Elephas maximus indicus: one gene and its partner. The protein of the gene in region 1 purifies or fractionates together with the protein of each later gene. This does not show direct contact. Links are inferred from orthologs where the notes say so. Each region holds a gene or a part of one and is shown on either strand. Other genes may lie near its edges.

The links. The genes of interacting proteins can lie anywhere in the genome.
Region 2: the proteins of TSPYL1 (region 1) and DDX24 purify together in Homo sapiens (affinity purification with mass spectrometry; 3 studies listed by BioGRID and IntAct, counting the BioPlex papers as one, with this or other methods). This does not show direct contact. The link is inferred for Elephas maximus indicus from reciprocal best matches to the Homo sapiens genes TSPYL1 and DDX24.

The regions. Positions count from the first base shown.
Region 1 is NC_064819.1:182,883,880-182,891,577, reverse strand, and holds the start of TSPYL1 (testis-specific Y-encoded-like protein 1), read left to right. Parts: upstream 1-4,695; 5' UTR 4,696-4,779; coding exon 4,780-6,105; 3' UTR 6,106-7,698.
Region 2 is NC_064828.1:107,656,120-107,663,888, forward strand, and holds the start of DDX24 (ATP-dependent RNA helicase DDX24), read right to left. Parts: upstream 3,002-7,769; 5' UTR 2,910-3,001; intron 536-2,909; 5' UTR 531-535; coding exon 1-530. UniProt on the Homo sapiens protein: ATP-dependent RNA helicase that plays a role in various aspects of RNA metabolism including pre-mRNA splicing and is thereby involved in different biological processes such as cell cycle regulation or innate immunity.

The DNA.
Region 1 (7,698 bases):
ATAAAAGCTGAAAATACCTGTGATCATGCTTATAACAGTACTAGTACACCAAAAGTAGTAAATAAATGAAAAAACCCAAAACCCAGTGCCGTCGAGTTGGTTCCGACTCATAGCGACCCTATAGGACAGACTAAAACTGCCCCACTGAGTTTCTGAGGAGCACCTGGCGGATTTGAACTGCCGACCCTCTGGTTAGCAGCCGTAGCACTTAACCACTACGCCAACAGGTTTTAAATAAATGAAAGCTATCATTAATTACAACCAGGAAACATATCCTTCTGCAAAACAATAATGTCTGCTAAACTGATTGCCACCCGAGAAATCATTGCTGAAGACTCTATGATTCCTCGATATGACGGAGAATAGCTTCATGTCATTTTTTTTTTTTTTTTGGTGGATGTTTTCCTGAAGAACCACAATCTGTTCAACTACCTTTTGGTTTATTGCCAATTGCCACAGAAATGCTCTGTCATATACAGATATAGCCTATATTCCAAAGTACTAAAAGGTAATGTATAAAACATGGCCAAAATACATATCCCTCCTTCAAATAAAATAAAATGCCAATGTAGACACATTGTTAGTTTTTGTAGGATCATTTCAGGTTCTATTTTATTCAAAGCATCAGATATTGTTATCGTTATGCTGAGTACATGCAACAGAAGAAGCTACAGTGCTCCCATCCCTTGGGAAGATGCTGAAATGCTGGGATGATGAGACTGACATGTATGGAACAGTCACTAAGAGGAGGAATATAATTAAGTGCTACATTGCGTGGTAAACCTTATAAAAGAGCTCTAGGAAGCTCAGTGAACTGCAGAGCGGTCCAGGAAAGCTGCATCTAGGAGAGGGAGGAGGAGTTTAGCGGTTACTACAGGAAAAAAAAAAAAAAAAAATTTATTTTTTATTTTTATTTTTTTACAGGAATGATCTTGGTTAAGTTAGTTAACCTTTCAGAGTTATTATTTCCTTTTTTATAAAATTTAAAATTTTCATGCACATAAAACGCCTAGCACATTCTAAAGCAAGACAGGTTTATGCTCGGTCTTGGAGAATGGACAGGATCTGCCTAAAAAGATAACGTTTCAAAGAACAGATTAACCTGTGTCATGAAAAAGACACACATCTCCTTCTTAAGACTTTAGGTATAAAATGTTAAGAAAAAAAAATCCACAGGTAATATCCCTTTTACAATAATTATCTGTGGCAAATAGTAACCACATTTTTTTTTTCCTGCAGGGTAAAATAATTCCCCCTAAGCACATAAATCTTGGATCAGGTTAAAATCCAAGAAAGTACCTTCTTCACCCATGCAAAAAATAATTTAGGAAAAGAAAGGGAACAGAGTATGCAAACCTGCTTTTCCCTCTAAATATCTGCCTCTCAGTGGCCCATCTCCTCTGCAGTTGTTTAATTAAAAGTTATTAGAATCTGGGCTCTCCATTATCTATAATGAAGAGTTAAAATCATAATCATTTCTCTATTGTGATTTTCAGATAATTAAAATTCAAAGAAATGTGTCTCCTCATTTTCTGTATTTATTCATTCAAATACAGAAATATTCTGTATCACAGCTTTTTCAAATGTACTGACAGGAAGAGTAGGATGCAATTCTCCAAAGTGTCTTAACCTTATCTGGGGACATTACATTCAGCAGACTCCTGATTACATTAACATAACACCATCCGTAATTGGAATCTTTCCTAACATTATCAGTTAGAGGGCTAATTACGCTTTCAGAAATCCTAATGGTGACTTGGACAAATAAGGCAGTATCTTCTACGACTGGCGAAAGTCTGCTATTACTTTTTGCTTTAAAATAAAAGTATATTACAGCAGTAAAAGTTTCCACTTTAGGGCAAATTAAATTATTTCCATTCCAAGATAGAAGATGATTTCATACAATTAAAAAGAAGTGGGCTTTGTGGAAAGTTCCATTATTCATTCTTATCTCTACTAAAAGTAATTTCAGCCATGCATCGAAGGAGCTATCCATTTCTTGCAGAGGGAAAAGAAGTAAGGCCTGGAATCATTCCCTTCGCTTGCACAGAAAGGAGAGAAGAATCAGAAGAAGAGAAATGCTGTGCTGGTAGTTGGAAGCTGCTTTGCTATGTAAACACCTTTCAGAGTTTGTTTGTCATGCAGTGTGACCACACAAATGTAAATTATTTATAAAACAAATTGTTTTCCCAGGCTTTGATACATATGTAGAAATTCATTCTCCCGGCTAGGAGTTTGCTACTGCCGACAGTAGGTTGGTCCTCTGGTTTGCCAGTGGCAGCTGGAGAGCGGGGTGACAATTCATGTGCCCCTCACTTCTCTTTTGCAAACCCAAAGTTGTAGGCAAGAGAAACTGTGTTCTGTTTGTTTGCTAATTCATTTAACATTCTATAACGTATGGAACACTGTGCCAGGCATTTGGTACATAGTAGTGAACAAAACCATGTCCCTGTCTTCCTAGAGCTCACAGTATTTTCTCAAATATCTTTTTTTTTTTTTTGTAGGTTTTGGTTTTAATTTTGTCTTTCTGTGTATTGCCTAAGTACATTTATGGCCCCAATGTCCAAAAAGAGACTCCCACCCAGTGCCTCAAGCTATTATAAATCCCAGCTGTCAGGAAGGATCTCAGGGAAAGCAACCAGCAAGGTTGCAGAACCTGCTGCTAGAAAAAAAAATTGAGGCAAGCAGATTCAATCAAACTTCAATCCAAGCTGTACTAGTTTTCTATTTCTGCTGTAACAAATTGCCACCAACCCAGTGGCTTAAAACAATACAAGTTTATTATCTTACGGTTCTGGAGGTTAGAAGTCCTAGAATCCGTACGTTGACAGGTCTGCACTCCTCTGGAGGCTCTAGGGGAGAATCAGTTTCCTTGCCTTTTCCCGTGTCTAGAGAAAAAAAAAAATTTTTTATTTATTTTTGTTTATTTTTTAGAGGCTGCCTGCATACCTTGACTGCTGGTCCTTCCTCCATCTTCAAAGCCTACAGCATAGCATTTCAAATCTTTTTCTCTCTCTCCTGACCTCTACTTCCACCACCACATCTCCTTCTGACTCTGACACTCTTCTGATAAGACCCTTTGTGATTACATTGGGCCCACTCAGATAATCCAAGATAATCTTCCCATCTCAAACTCCTTTACTTAACGATATCTGCCAAGTCCCTTTTGTTCTAGGAATTAGAACGAAGGCATCTTTGGGGGCCATTATTTGTCAGCCTAACACACAGGCAAAGAAAATAGGGGGAAAATTGCCATTTCTACATCTTAAATCAACTAGCTGTATGTTTAAGTTCTGCAAGTTTGTTTTCTACTTCAAGGCCATTGTGGTAACACATTGTAACCTGTTTTTCTTTTTTTCCTCATAAAAACGGTGGTGGATGCCCCACCCCCCATCGGTATTTCTCTGATAGCTTACAACTTTGACGAGCTTTGTTGGCACAGTTGTTACAAGCTGGGCTGCTAACTGAAAGGTCGGTTGTTCGAACCCACCAGCTTCCAGGAAAGAAAGATGTGAGTCTGGTTCCGTAAAGATATACAACCTTGGAAATCCTAGGGGACAGTTCTACTCTGTCCTATAGCATCGCTATGAGTCGCAATCAACTGGACAGCAGTGGGTTTGGTTTATAACTCTAAGATGCCAGTTTTTCTCACAAGCCAACAAACTAAAACATCCAAAAAGACACTGACATCCCTCTCAAATGAACTCAATGAGCTGATTGCCCTGAAAAGATACTTCATTACAGTCAACCTTTCTTACTTTATAGAACTAAATACATTAACCGTTTATGGGGCTGGAAATAGCTGATCATTTCCTCTTTCCTGCAGGAAGAGACCATGGAGTAACATTTAGCAAATTGTTCCTGGCTTCCTGCCTGCAGACCTTATGCAGCATAATCTCTTGAATGCAGATTATAAATTAAGGACTGACAATAAACAATATGTATCACTTTAGTAGTTTAAAAAAAAAAAAAGAAGAAGAAGAAGAAAAAAAAAAACCTCTGAGTAGCTTTTTGTCCCAGTAACATTACAGGCTCGAATTTATATTTCCTGCCACTCCTACTTGAGAAAAGAGAAACAATTTGCTACCCACTTAGTTAAAAGTGAAGCTTTTGTTTCTAGCCATTATGGAATAACAAAGGATATATTTATTTCCCTATCTAAAAAAAAAGGAAAACTGGAAAAATAATGTTTTCAGACGTAGTACAGCAGTACAGAGCTGTGCCAGTTACAGGCTGGAAGGAGTTTCCAGATACATCGCAGGGACGGTCTCACTGCCTTCAGACTCAGAGATCCTCATTTTTGTAGTCCTTATATATATATGGGAAGGAGTCCCGGTGGTGCAGTGGTTAAAGCGCTGCGTCCCTTCGCTGTGTGAGGCAAAAAAGTGTTAGTCTGCTTACGTGAACATTACAGCCTTGGAAACCCTATGGGGCAGTTCTACTATGTCCTACAGGGTCATTATGAATCAGAATCTACTTCAAAGCAGGAGGTTTGGTTTTGATTTTGGATATTTATGTATATCGTGCAGATCAACGTTTATTAAACCAAATTACCAATCCAACTGATTAACGCTAGTACACTTCAACAATAAGCAGCGGCGGACCCAACCCCGGGGCTCAGCGAGTCTCGCGCTGTGGCGAGAGCCTTCAGCTCTGACGTCATCGCCAAGGTAAAGCTCGCGAGACTAAGAGTGGGTGGTGCGAACGGCCGGTTTGTCTGGAGTGCGGCTTCTTTGAGGAAAACCGTCGCCCGCTAGCCGAGGGTCGCCAGCTATCAACATGAGCGGCCTGGATGGAGGCGAGAGGACCCCTGTCTCCGAAGTCTGCAGCATCACTACTCCCGACCGTGCCCCAGGAAACCCGGACCAACACCACTGCGAGAGCCTCCGAGGAGAAACCGAGGCGACGGCGATGATGGCGGAGACGGGTAAGAGCAGCTTGGAGACCGTTGAGCCCCCACCACCCCAGCTTCCAGAGGAGAGGGACGCACCCCGGGACCCCGCGGCCTGTGGCGACACTTCCCGGATTCGAGTCAGTGGAGATCGCAGTCATCTGGAGACCACAGCGGGGAACGAAGAGGCTCCGCCTCCCACAGAGAGCCTGGAAGCAGCCTCTGCCTCCGTGGCAACTGATAACAGCCTGAAAAATGACTGTCTGGGTGGAGAGCCTTGCGGCTCTGGTGGGAAGAAGGCCCTAGAAACCTGTGACGAAGGGAGCTCCGAGTCTGAGGCGATAGTTGGGGCGAAGGCCAAGGACATAAAGACTGAAACGTGCGCCATCTTGGTAGTAGCAGTGGAGGAGGAGAGGGCTGAGGTGGTGGAAGAGAAAATGGAGAAGGAAGGAGTAATGGATGAGGAGGTAGTGGAGGAGGAGATGGAGATGGAAGAGAAGCCAGTAGGTGAAGAAATGGAAGTGGTGGAGGAAAATAGAGTGATAGAGGAAGCGAGACCCCGGCCCCTGAATATGGATCTCCGCATGAACCCTCTAGAGGCCATTCAGCAGGAACTGGACACTGTGAATGCTCAGGCTGACAGAGCCTTCCTCCAGCTGGAGCAGAAGTTTGGGCGGATGCGTCGACACTACCTGGAGCGCAGGAACTACATCATTCAGAATATCCCCGGCTTCTGGGGCACCGCCTTTCGGAACCACCCCCAGCTGTCCGCCATGATTAGGGGCCAAGATGCAGAGATGCTAAGGTACATAACCAATTTGGAGGTGAAGGAGCTCAGACACCCTAGGACGGGCTGCAAGTTCAAGTTCTTCTTCCGAAGAAACCCGTATTTCAGGAACAAGTTGATTGTCAAGGAATATGAGGTCAGATCCTCAGGCCGAGTGGTGTCTCTTTCCACTCCCATCATCTGGCGCAGAGGCCATGAACCCCAGTCCTTCATTCGCAGGAACCAAGATACAGTCTGCAGCTTCTTCACCTGGTTTTCAGACCATAGCCTTCCAGAATCTGACAGGATTGCTGAGATTATCAAAGAGGACCTGTGGCCAGATCCACTTAAGTACTACTTGTTGCGTGAAGGGGCCCGTAGACCCAGACGTCGCCTGATAAGGGAGCCAGTGGAGATCCCCAGGCCATTTGGATTCCAGTCCGGTTAACCTTTGTCCTTGGAAATACTCTAGCACAGGGTCCCCAGACCTGTGCTTGGGCAACGGCAAGGGTATGCTTTCTACTTTTTCTGTGCTGATTTTTCTGCGCCTTCCCTCTGGACATTCAGCTCTCTCAGCCTCCAGATTGAGACTTTCATGCTCCTCCACTTTAACGCGATCTTTGTGCTGTTCACCCGCTCTTGTATTAACACCACATACTGCGTGGCCATGGTTCACACCACTCCAAGGCAAGCACTAGATGCCGTAGATTACACTTTATCTGCACTGCTTGGACTTTCTTTATTTCAGGGGTCTCGGCTCTGGCTACCACCACCTGCATTTCTAGCTTTGGCTCCTACACACCTTGCTCTGCATCTGGCAGTCAAGGCACATGGCCTCTGGACAATTGGCTGGGTGTTAATGATGTCAAGGGAGAGCAGCAGTGGGCTACTTGGTTTGTGTGACTCCATTGGTCTTCCTACTTGTCACTTTCTGTTGCTGCCTCCTCCTGACTATGCCCCCTCTCCTTGGCTGCAGCCTTCTGAACAATCGCCTTCTAGACTGTTGTCAGCCTCACTGTCTGATTTCTAGTAAACAAGGATCTTCAAAACTGATGGTGGACCCAGGTTTCCAGCCAGCACACAAAAGATGCCTCAATTCCTCACACCCCCACCCCCCAATCTTCCAGAAACCCTATTGACTCTTACACAAATGGTTAGAGTCATCCTCATGGCAAAGGTGAGGATGATGTCCTTTCCAAGTACCAGGCTTTCTCAACCTCAACCAGTGAATTCACAAAACCTAGGTACCTTTATTTGCTTCCCTTCCTCATCCTGAACATGATAAGTTTCAGGGTAGCAGTAAATTTTTTCTCTCTCTTTAAAAGAAAAAAAAGTGATAGCTGAGAAAAATCTGTAAAAGCAGGCTTTTTAGTTTAATTTGGCTGTCATTTCCAGAAACAGGTTGTCCTATAAAATAGACTGCCAGAATTCTTATTGCCCCTGTACTGTCTTTCCAACTCCATGTCTCCCTTTTTAGAGAGAGATCTAAATACAATGAAAGATGATTTCTAGTTTAGAGTGGAAGAATTTAAGAGATTGTGGTGGATGCTCTAAGCAGCAAAAACCAAACAAAAGGCCAGAGGCAGAAATGAGCTACAGAATTGGGGCTAGAATTAAGATTGAACTGACAGAGCCTTTGAGAAAGGGGTGATGGGAGGAGAAATACTTTTCTCGGGTTTGGGATGGATAGAATTGAAGTGTTAAATAATACATTTTTTTTTTTTTTTTTAGAGTAGGGTTCTTTAAGGAAACGATGCAACTTCAGGTGTTTTCTTTCTTTCATGTGACCTTATTTATGTTGAAGATTAATACTGTTCCTTTTATTTCAGTATTATATAAAATGCTGTTACCTTTTATTTCTACCTACTGGAATAATTGAGCTGTACAGGCTTTCTTTTGCTTTCAGTTGGGAACATTTGGAAGCATATCAACCTTATTTTCATGTACAATATTAGAAACTTATTTGAATATTTGTAGCAGTTGTCATCTTATTTCTGTTAAAGCTGTATCCTTAGAAATATAGTTCGAATAACTTGGTCTT
Region 2 (7,769 bases), on another chromosome or scaffold:
ATCCATGTCTTCGCCTTTTTGGGCACCTTCGGAGTAGTACCCTGGGAAGGCTCCAGTTTTTTTTTCCCTTTCTTCTTCTTCTTTTTTGGAACAGTGTGGGCCTGGCTTCCTGACGTTATCTCTTCCACCTCTGGCTCACGACAAATGGAGCCAACTTCCTGAAGCCCTAGCTCAGCATCTTTGACTTCAAACTCTTTCTGGGCACTAGTACCTTCAGTTTCCACATCTTTACTCTTCTTCAACATGACCTTTTTCTTTGGGGAGCTGGCCTCTCCTTCCTCTAAAACAGCTTGTGCCTTTCTCTTCTTGGGCTCTTCCTTTGAGAAGAGGCTGGAGGGATTCTTGGCAGGGGAGACCAACTGGTAATCTGTCAGTTCCTCAAAGCACACTAAGTCATCCATCTGTCCATCTGCAAACATGTTTGGGTCAATCTTCACCTGCTTCCATTTTCCCACAACTTTGATTCCCTTCATCTGAAATTTGCGATAGGTTGGTGGCTTTGGCTTTGATTTTGTCTCCTTCAACTTCATGGTTGCTGAAAATGAGAGAAATATTCTTTGAGGTTGGCAACTGAGACGTATAGGGTTCTGAGGCAATATATGACCCAACTGAGGACACAAGATGGTCTAACACTGATACTCTCTACTAGAGAATATCAAAGAGGGGAAGAAATACACCAAAAAAAAAAAAAAAAAATGAAACCAAACCCACTGCCGTCGAGTCAATTCTGACTCATACAACCCTACAGCAGATGTATGCATGCATGTGAATGGGAAGGCGTGTGTGATACTCGCACATGCCTGTACAGGTATATCCGTAGCTGTATGTATATACGTGTTTGTGTGTGTGCTGCATATATTCATATATATAAAATATAGCACAAAACAAAACAGTTACAGAGACTTCCTAGATATATCTAAACACCTCTCGGGATTGGTTTACCAGGTTTGAGGGCTCAGGACCATAGTCTCACAGGACAACTCAGAAAACTGGCATAACGTAGCTCATAATGTTCTACGTTCCAGGTTGGTAAGTAGTGTCTAGGATCTTAAACGCTTATCAGTGGCCATCTAAGATACAACTGCTGGTTTCCACTTGTCTGGAGCAAAAGAGAATGAAAGAACCAAAGACTCAAAGAAACTAGCCCACAGGACTAATATCCCACAGGAACCACGGCCTCTTCTAGTCTGAGACCAGAACTAGACAGTGGCCAACTACCACTACCAACCATTCTGACCTGGGATACAACAGACGGTCCCAGATAGAAAGGAAAGAATGTACAACAAAATTCAAATTCCTAAAAAAGGCCAGATCTACTACACCTATAGACTAGAGGAACCCCCGAGACTACCACCCGACGATACCCTCTGAACTTGGAACTGAAGCTACTCCCAGAGGTCAACTTTCAGCCACATAATAGACTGGCTTATAAAATAAATAATATCACCTGTGAGTAATGCGTTCCCTTAAACAATCAACTATACAAGCCCAAATGCTCAACACTTACCCCAAAGCTAAGATGAGAAGGCAAGGACGGGTAGGGAAACTAGATCAACAGAAAAAGAACAAACAGAATGGATACAATAAGAATGCTGACAGGCTGTGAAAATTGTTACCAATGTCACAGATTATGTGAATAAAAATTGTTAAATGAGAACCTAATTTGTCATGTAAACTTTCACCTAAAACACAATAAAATATGTTTTAAAAAGAAAGTACACCCACAGAAGAGACAGCCTGGCCTGGAACAGTGGAGACATGGGAGATGAAGCAAAGACACATGAGCTAAACCTCATTTAGATTCCAGACTCAACACTTAACTGCTTGTGGGATCTTGGACACTGCTACTTACTTCTCTTTGAACCTCTATGTTCTCATCTTTAAGAGGCGAAGGAACTAATAATATCTAAGTCAAAAAATGTTTTATGCAAGTAAATGAAACATTACGGGAAGCATGGCGAGTAAAGCCTGCCACACATTATCCCTTGTGAAGGCAGAATAAAAACCTGGGTTTGTTTTTTTTTTTGAAGGTAAGAGTCTCAAAAGTGCTCTGGAGCATTTTTCCTTCTCAAGCCTCACCCGAAGCAAAAAGATGCCCGTTCCAACCTTCTGGCATTTGCCAAAAGGCTTAAAACCCATCCAGCTTTTTCAGTATATTTTAAGTGATTTAAAGACCATTTAGGCACAAATTGTCTGGGCCTAACTCAATCCAAGTTCTCCCTTTTCAGAAAGGCCAAGAAAGACAGCACATCCTGTGGAAAAGGTCAATCTAGGTTCAAAACCGGACCCACCACTTGTCAGCTCTGGGCCTCTGGTGGATGAATACATCCCTGTGAGCCTCAGTTTCCTCGTCTGTAAAAGGGGTGACGAGGTATCTGTCTCAATGGGTCGTTAGGACAATCTAAAAAAGTGACGCAAGTCAAAAACCGCTTAGCATGGCGTCTGACACGGGGTAAGCAATTCAGCACGCACTGGAAGGTTCGCCCACCACACAAGCTACGTCACGTTCACAAACAGTCGGGGTTCAACGATAAGGGGGGGGAGTCACTCAAACAGGGGCGAGGACGCGGAGCGCAAACTACGGGGCATCAGGGTCCCTCCGCGCGCCGCCAGGTCGCGCCCGGCTCCGCGCCTGGAGCTCTCCCTTCATCTTAGGCACCAACGAGCGCACTAAGCAAAGAAGCCGAGACCCCCGAACCTTTATGCACGAGGAAGAGGCCCTGGACACGGGGAAGGGGCCCTGCGCGCGGGAGAGACACGCAGCTTGGCTGCGCGGCCTGAGCCGGCGGCCGTCCATTCAAAATCCGGGGAATCCAGCGAGCCGGAGAGGCCCGCGATGGGAACCCCAGAGCCCGCACCCAACTCCACTCTAGCGCCGACCCCGGTCCCGCTCCAGCCCTAGGATTCACCGTGTGGCGACCCCGCCGAGGACGCTTCAGACCCTGCTTCAGACCCAGCCGCCGACCTCCTCAGAAAACACCGCGTCCGCCCCTTAGGGGTAGCGTCGCCTACAGTTCCGGGGCGGGGTTTCCATTCACGTATGCGAGCGCACTGCGAAAGGAAGTCCCTCCCCCACTGTAAACGCCGCCACCTGATTCGCTGCTGCGCGGGGTCGCGGGCTTCTGCCAAACCAGGCCGGCGAGCTGAGCTACGGAGGCTTTGATGGGACAATGCCTTTCCTGGGTTTAGGGAGCTTGCAGAGCCTGCTCCCTGCGAAAAGGCTCTGTTCAGAAACACGTGGGAACGCAAGTGCTCTTGTACCACTGGGCTAGTTTCGGTGTGTCAAAGAGCAAACTGGAAGCACTGTTAAAAATCAAAGTATTGAGTTTTATTGAAGGCATAAAAACTATTCGAATCCGGGACAACTCAGAGTCCATGAAATGAACTAAGCGCTCCACCCAAAGAAATTTTTCCCAGGGTTTAAATACTGTACTAGGGTAAAATCTTTTTATACTAAAGCAAGAAGAAAGATTTTATTTGGCATATGTTCCAAGAAGCAAAAGTGAGAAACCGACGAACATGCTGCCAGAGCAAAGTCAGCTCGAGTTCAAGCAAGGAATGTAACAGAATCATCAACAACGACAGTCAATTTGATACTTCTGTATTCCATCTGGCGAGGTCTACGTGTATGTTCTTGTCGTTGTTAGGTGCCGTCGAGTCGGTTCCGACTCGTACCGACCCTGTGCACAACAGAACGAAACACTGCCCAGTCCTGAGCCATCCTTACTATCGTTGTTGTACTTGAGCCCATTCTTGCTGCCACTGTGTCAATCCACCTCGTTGAGGGTCTTCCTCGTTTCTGCTGACCCTGTACTCTACCAAGCATGATGTCCTTCTCCAGGGACTGATCCCTCCTGACAACATGTCCAAACTATGTAAGATGCAGTCTCACCATCCTTGCTTCTAAGGAGCATTCTGGTTGTACTACTGAGACAGATTTGTTCGTTTTTTTGGCACTCCATGGTATATTCAATATTATTCGTCAACACCACAATTCAAAGGCATCAATTCTTCTTCGGTCCTCCTTATTCGCTGTCCAGTTTTCACACACGTATGATGGGATTGAAAATACCATGGCTTGGGTCAGGCACACCTTAGTCTTCAAGGTCACATCTTTGCTCTTCAACAGTTTAAAGAGGTCCTTTGCAGCAGATTTACCCAATGGGATCCATCTTATGATTTCCTGACTGCTGCTTCCATGGCTGTTGATTGTGGATCCGAGTAAAATGAAATTCTTGACAACTTCAATCTTTTCTCCATTTATCATGATGTTGCTCGTTGGTCCAGTTGTGAGGATTTTTGTTTTGTTTATGTTGAGGTGCAATCCGTACTGAAGGCTGTGGTCTTTGATCTTCATTAGTAAGTGCTTCAAGTCCTCTTCACTTTCAGCAAACAAGGTTGTGTCATCTGCATAATGCAGGTTGTTAAAGAGTCTTCCTCCAATCCTGATGCCCCGTTCTTCTTCATATAGTCCAACTTCTCAGATTATTTGCTCAGCATACAGATTGAATACGTATGGTGAAAGGATACAACCCTGACGCACACCTGACTTTAAACCAATCAGTATCCCCTTGTTCTGTCCAAACAACTGCCTCTTGATCTGTGTAAAGGTTTCTCATGAGCACAATTAAGTGTTCTGGAATTCCCATTCTTCTCAGTGTTATCCCTAGTTTGTTATGTTCCACACAGTCAAATGCCTTGCATAGTCAATAAAACACAAGTAAACATCCTTCCGGTATTCTCTGCTTTCAGCCAGGATTTATCTGACATCAGCAATGATATTCCTGGTTCCACATTCACTTCTGAAGCCGGCCTGAATTTCTGGCAGTTCCCTGTCAATACGCTGCTGCAGCTGTTTTTGAATAATCTTCAGCAAAATTTTGCTTGTGTGTGATATGAATGATATTGTTCTATAATTTCCACATTTGGTTGGATCACCTTTCTTGGGAATAGGTGTAAATATGGATCTCTTCCTGTGAGTTAGCCAGGAAGCTGTCTTCAATATTTCTTGGCATAGACGAGTGAGCATCTCCAGCACTGCATCCATTTGTTGAAATATATCAATTGATATTCCATCAATTCCTGGAGCCTTGTTTTTCACCGGAAATCCTGGTGGCATAGTGGTTAAGTGCTATGGCTGCTAACCAAGAGTTTGGCAGTTTTAATCCACCAGGCGCTCCTTGGAAACTCTGTGGGGCAGTTCTACTCCAACCTATAGGGTCGCTATGAGTCGCAATCGACTGGACGGCAGTGGGTTTTGTTTTGGTGGGTTTGTTTTTCACCAATGCCTTCAGAGAAGCTTGGGCTTCTTCTTCAGTACCATCGGTTCCTGATCATATGCCACCTCTTGAAATGGTGAACATCAACTAATTGTTTTTGGTATAATGACTCAGTGTATTCCTTCCATCTTTTTTTTGATGCTTCCTGCGTCGTTTAATATTTTCCCCCATAGAATCCTTCACTATTGCAATTTGAGGCGTGAATTTTTCCTTCAGTTCTTTAGCTCGAGAAACGCCGAGCATGTTCTTCCCTTTCGGTTTTCCAGCTCTTTGCACATGTCATTATAATACTTTACTTTGTCTTCTCGAGCCACCCTTTGAAATCTTCTGTTCAGTTCTTTTACTTCATCAATTCTTCCTTTCGCTTTAGCTGCTCAATGCTCAACAGCCAGTTTCAGAGTCTCTTCTGACATCCATCTTGGTCTTTTCTTTCTTTCCTGTCTTTTCAATGACCTCTTGCTTTCTTCATGGATGATGTCCTTGATGTCATTCCACAACTCGTCTTGTCTTCGGCTGCTGGTGTTCAATGCATCAAATCTATTCTTCAGGTGGTCTCTAAATTCAGGTGGGATATACTCAAGGTCATATTTTGGCTCTCGTGGACTTGGTCTGATTTTCTTCAGTTTCAGCCTGAACTTGCATATGAGCAATTGATGGTCTGTTCCACAGTCGGCCCCTGGCCTTGTCCTGACTGATGATATTGAACTTTTCCATCGTCTCTTTCCACAGATGTAGTCAATTTGATTTCTGTGTGTTCCATCTGGCGAATTCCATGTGTATAGTCGCCGTTTATGTTGGTAAAAGAAGGTATTTGCAATAAAGAAGTCATCGGCCTTGCAAAATTCTATTGTGTGATCTCCGGCATTGTTTCTATCACCAAGGCCATATTTTCCAATTACTGATCCTTCTTCTTTGTTTCCGGCGTTCACATTCCAATCACCAGTAATTATCGATGCATTTTAACTGCGTGTTTGATCAATTTCAGACTGTAGAATTTGATAAAAAAAAAAACCCAAACCCAGTGCCGTCGAGTCGATTCTGACTCATAGCGACCAATAGGACAGAGTAGAACTGCCCCATAGAGTTTCCAGGGAGCGCCTGGCAGATTCAAACTGCCGACCCTTTGGTTAGCAGCCATAGCACTTAACCACTATGCCACCAGGGTTTCCCCGTAGCAGCTGGTAAAAATCTTCTATTTCTTCATCTTTGGCCTTAGTGGTTGGTGCGTAAATTTGAATAATAGTTGTATTAACTGGTTTTCCTTGTAGGCGTATGGATATTATCCTATCACTGACAGCGCTGTACTTCAGGATAGACCTTGAAATGTTCTTTTTGACGATAAATTCAATGCCATTCCTCTTCAAGTTGTCATTCCTGGCATAGTAGACCATATGATTGTCTGATTCTAAATTGCCAGTATTAGTCCATTTCAGCTCACTAATGCCTAGGATATCGATCTTTATACAGTCCATTTCATTTTTGATGACTTCCAGTTTTCCTAGATTCATATTTTGCATATTCCATGTTCCGTTTATTAAAGAATGTTTCCAGCTGTTTCTTCCCATTTTGAGTCATGCCACGCCATCAAATGAAGGTCCCAAAAGCTTGACTCCATCCATATCACTAAGGTCAGCTCTACTTTGAGGAGGCAGCTCTTCCTCAGTCGTATTTTGAGTGCCTTCCAATCTGATAGCCTCCTCTCCTGGCACTATCCCAGACAATGTTCTGCTGCTATTCATAAGATTTTCACTGGCCAATTTTTTCAGAAGTAGATCACAAAGTTCTTTCTCCTAGTCTGTCTAAGTTTGGAAGCCCCACTGAAACCTGTTGTCTTGAATATCTAGTGCTACTATAAAAGGAATACCACAAGTGGTTGGCTTTAACAAAGAGAAATTTATTCTCTCACAGTCTAGTAGGTTACAAGTCTAAATTCAGGGCATCAGCTCCAGGGGAAGGCTTTCTTTCTGTTGGCTCTGGAGGAAGATCCTTGTCAACAATCTTCCCCTGTTCTGGGAGCTTCTCTGTGCAGGACCTCAAGTCCAAAGGACATGCTGTGCCCCCGGCATTGCTTTCTTGGTGGTATGAGTCCCCAGCTCTCTGCCTGCTTCCATTTCCTTTTATCTCTGGTAAGGTATCTTGCTCATCCAGTGCTGCTGTAACAGAAATACCACAAGTGAATGGCTTTAATAAAGAGACTTGTTTCTTCACTGTAAAGTAGGTTAAAAGTCCAAATTCAGGATGTCATCTCCAGGGGAAGGCTTTCTCTCTCTTTCTGTTGGCCTTCTCATCAGTCTTCCCCTAGACTAACAGCTTCTCTGCGCAGGCACCCTGGATCCAAAGGATGCGCTCTCTCCCAGCACTGCTTTCTTGGTGGTATGAGGTCCCATCCCTCTGATCGCTTCTTTCTTTTATATCTCAAGAGATCGCCTCAAGACACAATTCAATCTGGTAGATTGAGTCCTGTCTCACTAATACAACTACTGCCCATCC